Linked DNA regions of Oryctolagus cuniculus. The protein of the gene in region 2 purifies or fractionates together with the protein of the main gene of each other region. This does not show direct contact. Links are inferred from orthologs where the notes say so. Each region holds a gene or a part of one and is shown on either strand. Other genes may lie near its edges.

The links.
Region 1: the proteins of LLGL1 (region 2) and PARD6B purify together in Homo sapiens (affinity purification with mass spectrometry; 5 studies listed by BioGRID and IntAct, counting the BioPlex papers as one, with this or other methods). This does not show direct contact. The link is inferred for Oryctolagus cuniculus from reciprocal best matches to the Homo sapiens genes LLGL1 and PARD6B.

Annotation. Positions count from the first base shown.
Region 1 is NC_091442.1:10,161,547-10,167,170, forward strand, and holds the start of PARD6B (partitioning defective 6 homolog beta), read right to left. Parts: upstream 3,307-5,624; 5' UTR 2,990-3,306; coding exon 2,924-2,989; intron 1-2,923. UniProt on the Homo sapiens protein: Adapter protein involved in asymmetrical cell division and cell polarization processes. Probably involved in formation of epithelial tight junctions.
Region 2 is NC_091448.1:62,277,393-62,281,636, forward strand, and holds the end of LLGL1 (lethal(2) giant larvae protein homolog 1), read right to left. Parts: intron 4,027-4,244; coding exon 3,731-4,026; intron 3,485-3,730; coding exon 3,220-3,484; intron 3,120-3,219; coding exon 3,005-3,119; intron 2,916-3,004; coding exon 2,809-2,915; intron 2,657-2,808; coding exon 2,536-2,656; intron 2,463-2,535; coding exon 2,384-2,462; 3' UTR 1,637-2,383; downstream 1-1,636. Other genes in the region: FLII (protein flightless-1 homolog), read left to right, coding at 1-146, 220-374, 463-523, 629-757, 860-966, 1,055-1,160, 1,238-1,303, 1,394-1,522. UniProt on the Homo sapiens protein: Cortical cytoskeleton protein found in a complex involved in maintaining cell polarity and epithelial integrity. Involved in the regulation of mitotic spindle orientation, proliferation, differentiation and tissue organization of neuroepithelial cells.

The DNA.
Region 1 (5,624 bases), on a different chromosome or scaffold from region 2:
CACCTGTCACTCTACAGTCTACAAGGTGTCAACACCAGACACCTGTCACTCTACAGTCTACATAGGTGTCAACACCACGGTCAGGTGTTTGACCGCAGGACTCGTTTTCCTTGGAAACATCTGATATTGTTAGCAAGAAATACATAGTAGGAGCTCAACCTCAGTAGCATCAGGCAGAGAAAGCCCCAATCCTAGCCATTTTGGAAGTGCATAAACATGCTGAATCAGCTCCCCAGAGGCCTTACTGGGTATCTGGATGCACTGTCTGCTTTACAGAAAAGCCCATCAGCTCTGCTTATGCCCTAAACACCACTCACCAGGTTTACGTTAAAATTAGAACTCACCCAAACCACCTCTTGCTGCTGATAAATAAAAGTTTGCAAAACACATTCCTGAAATATAAACACTAATATTCATCAAGAAAATAAGGTGACTCATATCCAAAGCTCTCAAAAAGTTCGGTCACACCTTCATGTTTCAAAGCAAATAAAAACTCAGGGAACACCCTTCCTATCAGCCAGTCTATGATGTTATCAGAAGTCACAGTTTCTCCCCCATTCCCTGGCTGGCATCACAGCACAGGCGGCCGCTGCGTCCTGATTCGTCTCCGGGTTATCACTCAGCCTGACTCACCACCCGGAACGACAGCTGAGAGGTTAACGTTTCGGGGGCTTCACTGCTTCGGCTCGAGTGTGTGGATGAGAATTCTTTGCTCAACAACCTTTTTCTCTTGCTTAACTCATTTGATAAAAATAGTGGGAAACCCTATGGCTTCAAAGTCAGATATGCCCTCTGTAAATGCTGGCAGGGGAAACACACTAGAGAAACTGTCACGCTTCCTGCAGCAGAACAAGAGGGTAGAGAACTTTTTACCACACGAAGAGAGCTGCCAAGAGACAGACTCAAGACTCAAGCAACCATTCCCCACTCCAGGACCCATTCACAGCTTTGTTTAACCGGCCTGGTTCCTCCCAGCCATTCACAATGTGTCAGACTCCCGCCCCCCACTATCTGCTGGCACATTTTAGAAATGACAACTTAATTTTAATGTCCTATTCGCCTGTGAGTAATTAGGAACTGTTCCGGCTCCAAGACTGTCCCAAGGTTACTAAAGGGCACCTCCATCAGTACTGAGAACTTCCCCAACTCTAGAGAAACAATTAGGGAGATAAATCAGTTACCAAAGAAAAGCCACGTGGTTTCTGGTATCACGAATTCAACCAGCTTGTTGACACTGTCCACTATGTTGATTACCTGTAACCATTCTTCCCTTCCCAGGCCAAGGTAATCCGGCCGACACTACTGATGTCCAGGCAGGGGCCGAGGACCCTGAGACGGCTCCGCCTGCTCTCCAGTGCTGGCTCCAAGCCCGCAGCCACGGCTGCCCCAGGAGCCCAGAAAGCCGAAGCAGCACCAAAGCAAAATGTGCTTCAAAAATCTCCCGCAGCAGAGGTTTTTAAGAGGACAAACAGCTTATTCAACCCATTCAGAAGTAAACACATCAACAACAGACATCGAGAAGCAGGGGCACGGGTGGCCGGGGCCCTCACTGCTCTGCCCATCCTCGCGGGACCACAGTTCCCGGCGCCTGGTCTCAGGCCGCCCCGATTCCACCTCGTGGCCGGCGCAGGCCTCGGGACGCCGGCAGGCCAACACCTAACACCCGGTTTGGGCCTCAGGTATGTGGGAGATTCTCAAGTCAGCTGACAGGAGGCGGCGAGAGCCTGGCATGCCAGCCCGCGCCGGGAGGAAATGTTTGCTTTCTTTCAGCAGCGCACCTACTAGCTCCACTCATTTTTTCCCTGCCACTTGCTACCAAGGTCGGCCTGGAAGCGGAATTTTGAGTGATGCAATATCACAAGTGCCTTTTCTTGACCTCAACTCCCACAAACCCGAGATGTGAATCCCTGCCCTGCTCCGCCGGGGCCCACGGAGGCCGCGCCGCGATCACAACCGCACTCCCCCGACAGGACGGTGGCCGAGACCAGCAGCCACCCCGGCCCGGCCCAAACACCATCGTCCCGCCGCGTCCCGGCTGCAGAGCCGCGCAGAGCCGCGGGACGGGACCGCCGCGCGCCCCGGCCCCTTCCGTCAGGACCGCCGGGCGCCCCCCGGCCCCGCGCCCCCGGCCCCCTTCCATCGGGACCGCCGGGCGCCCCCCGACCCCGGCCCCTTCCGTCAGGACCGCCGGGCGCCCCCCGGCCCCGCGCCCCCGGCCCCCTTCCATCGGGACCGCCGGGCGCCCCCCGACCCCGGCCCCTTCCGTCAGGACCGCCGGGCGCCCCCCGGCCCCGCGCCCCCGGCCCGCTTCCATCGGGACCGCCGGGCGCCCCCCGGCCCCGTGCCCCCGGCCCCCTTCCGTCCACGCGGCTTCGCGACTGTGGAAGCCGATCCGCTGTTCTCCTCCAACGCGCTCCGGCCTCGCCGGGTCTCTCCGAGCCGCCGCGGCTGGCACGGCCCAGGGCCTGGATTATTCTCGCTCAGGAGCGCCGAGCCGCGGCAGGCGCAGCCCGCGGAGCCCACCTGCTCACCTGCCGCCCGCCTCCGGGACCGGGGCCTGCGAGACTCCCGGGCCGCCAGCAGGGCCCAGCTCGGAACCCGGGCAGCGGACGGCGGCGCGGAGACCCCAGCGCACGCGCTGCGGGTGCCGGTGCTGATCCGCAGACGAAACGCGCTCCAGGGCTCCCCAGGAATCCGCCCGGCCGGGAGCAAAGCAACCCAAAGGGCGCTCGCCCCCTCGAACCCGAACGGGGGGACCGGGCGCCTCCGGCCCTGCCCCGGACAGGGCGCCCCACGGCTCCCACCTCGGAAACCAGAAGCCGGCGCCCCCACCCCGCCCTCGCGGGCCCCCGAGGCTCGGCCCGCGGCCTCCCCCGGCGCCCGGCCTCCCGACCGCCGCTCCGCCCAGGCCGGCCCCGCGCACCTTGCTCTTCACCTCCATGGTGCCCAGGCAGCCGCTGCCCGCCCCGTGCCGGTGGCTGCGGTTCATGTCGAGCGCCGGGCCCCGCGGCGGCCTCGTCGGCACCGGCCGCCCCTCGGGCGCGCGGGGAGCGAGTGCGCGGCGGGGCGCGCGGGTTCGGAGGGCGGCCGCGGCCCGGGCGCTCCGCGCAGGCACCTGCAGAGGGGCGGGCTGCTCACGCGGCGGGACGGAGGGGCGCACTGGCGGCGCGGCGGGCGCGGACGCTGCTCCCTGCCTGCGGGCCCGCGGCGGCGGCGGCGGCGGAGGAGGAGAGGGCGGAGCGCAGGCTCCCAGCGCCGCAGCCTCGCTCTCGGCCACCTCCCCCGCGGGCCCGCGCGCGCGCGCCCGAGCCGGGCCAGAGCCGCGGCGCGTGCGCGCGCTCACCTGCAGCCTCCGGAGCAGCCTCGGCCGCTCGCGCTCCGCCCACACCCAATAGGAAGCGCGCACCTGCGCCCGCGGCGCCAACCAATCGAAACACGACTCGCGGGGCGCATGGGCGGGCCTCCCTCGACAAAGTCCCGCCCGCCGCCGCACGATTGGTCCCGCGCGGCGGGGGAGGGGCGGGATTACCTGAAGCCCGGGGCCGCCTCTCTGGACCCCGCCAGAGAGCTGGAGAGCGCATGCGCAGGAGCTCGAGTTTCCGCCCAGAGAAGGCCGGCCGGAAGCGCAAGCGCACCTGAGGAGGGAGTCCGGCGGGTGTGCCTTCTGCGCACGCGCGGGCGCGCGCCGCGGGACTTGGTGCCGCTTGGGCTGGCGCAGCTCGGCGCGCGCTGGTCACTCGCTCGGTGCGGGGGACTGGGCGCGCGGCCGTATCGGTGGCCGAGGCACCGAGTGGCTTGCTCGGCCCCCGCCCTGCTGTGACTTTGGGTTGTGTCGCCCTTCACAACGCCCCCTTCCCCACCCTTTCGTGTTTTTAGGGTCCCGCTGCAACTCTCGTGCGCAAAATTCAGGTTTTTCGCCTCTGCGCGCTTATCTGAGGGAGCGCCTCGGCTCCGTGGGCTGGGCTCTGCGGGAGGCGGCTGCAGCCCGCCCCCACCCGTCCGTCGGGTCCCCAGGGGTCGGTGGGGGGAGCGAGGGGGCCTGAGGCGCCGGGGGGGGGGTCCACGCAGGGTTTCCGGATCCCGCTTAGCCTGGGCCCTGGGGGGGCGCGGACGGGAGCCCCGGGCCCTGCCGCCCTGCGAAGGGGCTCCCTGCATGCCGTGGAGACCCCCTCCTGTGCGAGCAGATGCCTGGGGTGCTGCTGCTCCTGCGTCCTCGGGACCTCCGCCCCTAGACCCCAGCCCCCTCCCGGGCCCCGCCCCCTCCCGAGCCGCGCCCTGGCGGGTGCCCAGCTGACGGGGAGGTGTCTGCTGGCCAGCCGGGTCCAAAGGTGAGGAATTCCTCTCCCCGGAGCCGTGGGTCCGCCCGGGCGGAAGCGCAGGTGGAAACCGCCCCACGCTGAGCAGGGCCGCCCTCTTCACCCCGCGGGAAAACACCTGTGCCGCTCGGCGCCCGCGTGGCCAGGGGCAGCTGCAGGCGAAACTCGCCCTTCGCCTTCGTTCGGGGGCTCTGCTCTCGGCTTGTTTGGTCTCAAGAGCCCCCTAGACTACTGCAGAGGGGCCCAAAGCGTGTTCGTGTGTGTCAGGTCTGTCCGTGCTCACGGCATTGAGAGAGACGCGTCTGCAGCACGCGCTCCAGCTGCCATCCGTGATGTCATCACGTGCCGTGTTCCTTCTGGAAAACCCCACGGTGGGCTGGGAAGCAAGGCGCAACACCTGGGCGTCGTGAGCATGTGGCGTGGCAACCCCCCAGGACGGCCTGGGGCGCCCAGGCGTGCACTGTGATGGCCGCTGGACCAGGCTCGGTCGCCTGGGATTCTGCGTTCTCAGCTCTCGCCCTCCCTGCCCTGGGAGCAGGGCCGCAGCGCTGAGCCACCGCGGGGTGACGGAGCTTTATTGCTAGCAGTGCTGATTTATCAGGGCTTTTGAGAAGGAAGTTCCCGGGTGCCAACGCACCTGCGTGGGCCCGCATTCCTGGAGGTGGCGTCACATCCCCCTCCCCCGGGCGTGGCCTCCCTCTTCTCTTGGACTTTCCTTTCTGGATCCCGAGAGGAGCTGGCTCTGGAGGCCTGCATCACCCATCCCCGGGCGCCTGGGTTGTGCAAGGGAGGAATGAGGGAAGAGGTTCCAAAGTGATAGAGGGGCCGGCGGCGGCTTCTCACAGCCGTGGGGCCTGAGGCTCACCAGGCCTGTGTTTCAGCCTCCGCTGAGAAGCACGAAGCCCAGAGGCGTGGCTCAGAGAGGGATTTCTGTCCCTGCTCTGCTGTTTGAAGACTGGCCCTAATCTTCTTTCTCCCCGCCCCCAAATCCTCCCGTTAAAGCTGATCCAGACCTCCCCGTGTGCAAAGGAAAGCCAGCTCCACGCCTGGGAGGGTGACCGGGGCTCCAGTAAGGCAGGTGGTGGACAGGTCCACACCATCCTTGCGCAGGACCAGGCTCCGGAGATGCTCACGCCCCGGTCAAGCTTCTTACCCGCCCGAGGTCTGAAGGAATCGGGGCTGGGCTCTGCCTTACTCTTTCCCAGAGTTCTCTAAGTTCCGCACCCCCCCCCCACCCGCGACATCTAGCTCGCCAGGTGGAGAAAGTTTGTCATCTTCCACCGCCAGCTTTCTCAGCTGACATCCTGC
Region 2 (4,244 bases):
AGGCGGCGGAGGAGCAGCCACCGGAGGAGGACTTCCAGTGCACCGTGTACTTCTGGCAGGGCCGCGAGGCCTCCAACATGGGCTGGCTCACCTTCACCTTCAGCCTGCAGAAGAAGTTCGAGAGCCTCTTCCCCGGCAAGCTGGAGGTGGGCCGCCCGCCGCTGGGGGGTGGGGGGCCGGGAGGGCCGTGGGGCAACACCCTGACCCTGCCCCCCGCAGGTGGTGCGCATGACGCAGCAGCAGGAGAACCCCAAGTTCCTGGCCCACTTCAAGAGGAAGTTCATCATCCACCGCGGCAAACGGAAGGCGGCGCAGGGCGCCCCGCAGCCGAGCCTGTACCAGATCCGCACCAACGGCAGCGCCCTCTGCACGAGGTGCCTGGCGGGGGCGGGCGGGGAGGGCCGGGGGAGCCCCCGACCACCCGCCCCCTCGCTGACGCGCCCCACGCCCCTCCCCTCGCAGGTGCATCCAAATCCACACGGACTCCAGCCTGCTCAACTCCGAGTTCTGCTTCATCCTCAAGGTGGGGGCGTGGGCGAGCCAGGCCGGCGGGGGGTAGGGGAGAGGGGGTGGGGGCGAGGCCGGGGCCAGGCCTGAGCCGCCCGGCCGCCTCGGCTCCGCTCTCCAGGTCCCCTTTGAGAGCGAGGACAACCAAGGGATTGTGTACGCCTGGGTGGGCCGGGCGTCGGACCCGGACGAGGCCAAGCTGGCGGAAGACATCCTCAACACCATGTTCGACGCCGCCTACAGCAAGCAGGTGCGCGGGGCGGGGCAGGGACAGGTGGAGGGGCAGGTGCATGGAGACGGGGCGGGCAGGGGGGGAGCTGGGGCCCGGGTGGGGCTGACACCCTCCCCGCAGGTCATCAACGAGGGGGAGGAGCCCGAGAACTTCTTCTGGGTGGGCATCGGGGCTCAGAAGCCCTACGACGAGGACGCCGAGTACATGAAGCACACGCGGCTCTTCCGGTGAGCACCAGGGCTGCGCCCCGCCCCGCCCCCAGGCGGCCCCTGCCCCTGCTCACTCCTAGCGGCCCCGCCCTGCCCCGCCCCTCAGGTGCTCCAACGACAAGGGCTACTTCGCCGTGACTGAGAAGTGCTCCGACTTCTGCCAGGACGACCTGGCCGACGACGACATCATGTTGCTGGACAACGGCCAGGAGGTGAGGCCCCGCCCCGCCCGCCCCATCTCCCAGGGCCGGCCGTGAGTGCGGCACTGCAGCGCCTGCTGTCCCCCTAGGTCTACATGTGGGTGGGCACCCAGACCAGCCAGGTGGAGATCAAACTGAGCCTGAAGGCCTGCCAGGTGAGCCGGGGGCCGGGTGCTGGGGGCCCGGGGCGGGCGGCCGCATGCAGCCCTGCGCCCACCTCCTCTCCCCCCGCCCTCGGCCCCCAGGTGTACATCCAGCACCTGCGCTCCAAGGAGCAGCCCCGGCGCCTGCGCCTGGTCCGCAAAGGCAACGAGCAGCACGCCTTCACCCGCTGCTTCCACGCCTGGAGCGCCTTCCGCCAGGCCCCGGCCTAGGCCCGCGCCGGCCCCGCCCCCGCGTCTGCGTCCCCCAGCACACAGCCCCGCCGGTGCCCTGGGAGAGCAGACTCCACCCCCCGGGGATAAAGCACAGGCGGTTGTTCTCTAAGAGACAGTAAATGCTTTTATTTTCAATATTAAAAAATCAGTATTTTTAATACTAAAACCACTAATTTTAACAAAATGACAGAAAAAGATCCCCCCAAGGTACAATCTACAGGGCCCGCCCGACTCCCCTCACACACACATACACGCACACATCTGACCAGGCCTCAGTGGTCCCAGGTTCTCACGCACGCACGCACGCGTAGGGCTGGCCCAGGAGCAAGTACCAAAATAGTTTCAGAAATGACCATGGAGGCCAGCACAGGCGTTAGAAAAATACTCTGCGGAGGGAGGGGGGCGGGGAGGTGGCCCAGTGCACCCCGGTGCCACCCACACCCCAGGCTGCCTCGCTCGGGGCCCACTCCAGCCCCCAGGTTAGCAGGTGCGGGTCTGTGTTAGGGGAGGGGCCGGCAGGAGGCGGGCAGCCCCGTGTGCTGGCCCACGCAGGACAGCGGCAGTGACGAGCGCCAGCAAGGAGGTGTCAGCTGCCGTCCGTGCCCGGCGCAGACCCCCACGGGGCAGGGCCAAGCCAGGCTCCAGGCTGGCTCTGCTGGCGGGACCCTAGCTCGTCAGCTGCAGCCGCTGACACACGTCTGACCTGGCCCCACCCCACACACCTGTGAGTCCAAGGGCGAGCGGCCGGCTCTGCCTTCCTGACCCTCTGCTATGAAAATCACTGCGAGGCCCCCAGGGAGGCGGCCAGGTGCGGGCCCCCAGGGAGATGGGGGGCGCTGGGCAGGGCCCTGCAGCCCCTCACTTGATCAGGATGGCGCAGGCGTGGGCCTCGTCCCCCGACAGGTTCCTCAGGTTCTTCTCTGCCTCCTCGGGAGAGCTGGGGGTGCAGTGGTGGTCAGAGGGGAGGAAGGGGGTGGGGGGCGGGGGGCAGGGAGGGGCGGCGGCCTCACCCCAGGAACTCCTTCACATCATCCACCGTGACGTCCCCTGTGGTGTCCAGTGTTGTGTCCGCGCTGGTGGCCGAGTCCAGAGACATGGGCGACAGCGTGGCCTCGGGCGGCTCGGGGGTCTCTGCAGGGAGCCCAGTGATCACCCACCCAGGGCCCTCAGCGCCCCATGCCCCTGGGGGCCAGGTGCAGACACCCCCGCCCCGCCAGCCTCAGGGGCTCAGCTGCTGGTCCCGGCTCCCCGGCCAGGGCCGCCCCCGGCCCACAGTCCCTCACCAGCTCCCTGGCTGTGGGCAGGATCCGGGCTTCCCTCGCAGCTCTGGGGGGCCAGGATGATGCCTGGGGTCCCGTTGGCCTGGCTCAGCTTGGGTGACTCCTGCAGCCTGTGGGCGTGGACAGGGCCACAGTGGGTGCTGCCAGCAGGTGCCCCGAGGTGGCAGGGGAGCCCCGGCCCTCCCGACACCCCACACACCTGGCCCGCCGGGCATCTCGGGGCCAGCTGATGTCCAGCGAGCACAGTGGCTCGGTGATGTTGCGGGCACTCAGGGAGAAGCGTTCAAACTCGGACGGGGAGATCAGGTAGAAGCCTGGGCGGGCGGGAGAGCAGAAGCAAGGGGGTGTCAGGAGACAGGCGGCGGCCGCAGCCCTGGGCCAGCCCCCGGCCCCGTTCCCGCAGGCCTCACTCACCCTGGCCGTGCCGAGTGAACACACAGGAGGCGATACCGCTGATGTCCTCTTTGCGGATGCACGCGTAGTGCACCTGGGGCCGCAGGCCGGGCACCGAGAACACGTGCACGTCCCCCAGGTTGGTGAGGCAGGCCAGGCACGTCTCGGCATAGTCCTCGCAGGCCACGCTCGCAAACGTGGCCAGGGCCACCTTGCGCACGCGGCAGCCCTCGTGGGCTGTCAGCTTGAACTTGGTCTTGGCACTCACTTTGGGCAGCGTGAACACCTGGCAGCGGGCAGGCAGCCCGTGAGCACGGAGCTGGCCGGGCCCAGGCCCTCACCCTGCCGCCTGTATGCCCGGGACACACGGACACACGTTCCTCCCCCAGTGCAGGGCATCCCAGACGCTGGCCAGCCTCCCCCATCTGGGGTCACCCCGGCCTCGCGGTGTGGGTCTCAAGGTGGTGTCTGCCGGCTGGTGGCATTCCCATGGGCCTGGGGAACGTGGGCAGGGCCCCGAGGACCCGCTCACCTTGAACTGTTCCTCGGAGGCGATGAGCACGGCGTGGCCCCCCTGCATGTCGGGCGCCTGCGCCAGGTCCCGAGAGGCCTCGTAGGGCTCGGGCAGCGGGCGGCCGCGCCCGTCCAGCACGGCGATGGCCACCACGGGCGCCCGGTGCATCAGCTGCACCTCCTTGCCCAGCACGGCTTCCACCGCCCGCTCGGGCCGCTTCTCGCCGCCCGCCGAGGCTGCCGGCACCTCCAGTGCGTAGGCAAACACGGAGCCCGAGTTGGTGCCCGCCCACATGGTGGGCCCATGGTGGGCCGCTGCGGAGACGGGGGTGCCGTGAGAGGGCGCGCCACTTCCGGCACCCGGGCGCAGCTGCCATCTGCGAACCCCACACAGCACCCTGCCCCCTCCAGCCCCATCCCACAGCACCCTCAGCCCCCGCCCTCCATCCTCATTTTGCAGGCCACCCCAGCCCCTGCCGCACCCCCACCCACAGTGGGGAGACAGAGCCTCTTGACCACAGAAAACCCCAGGC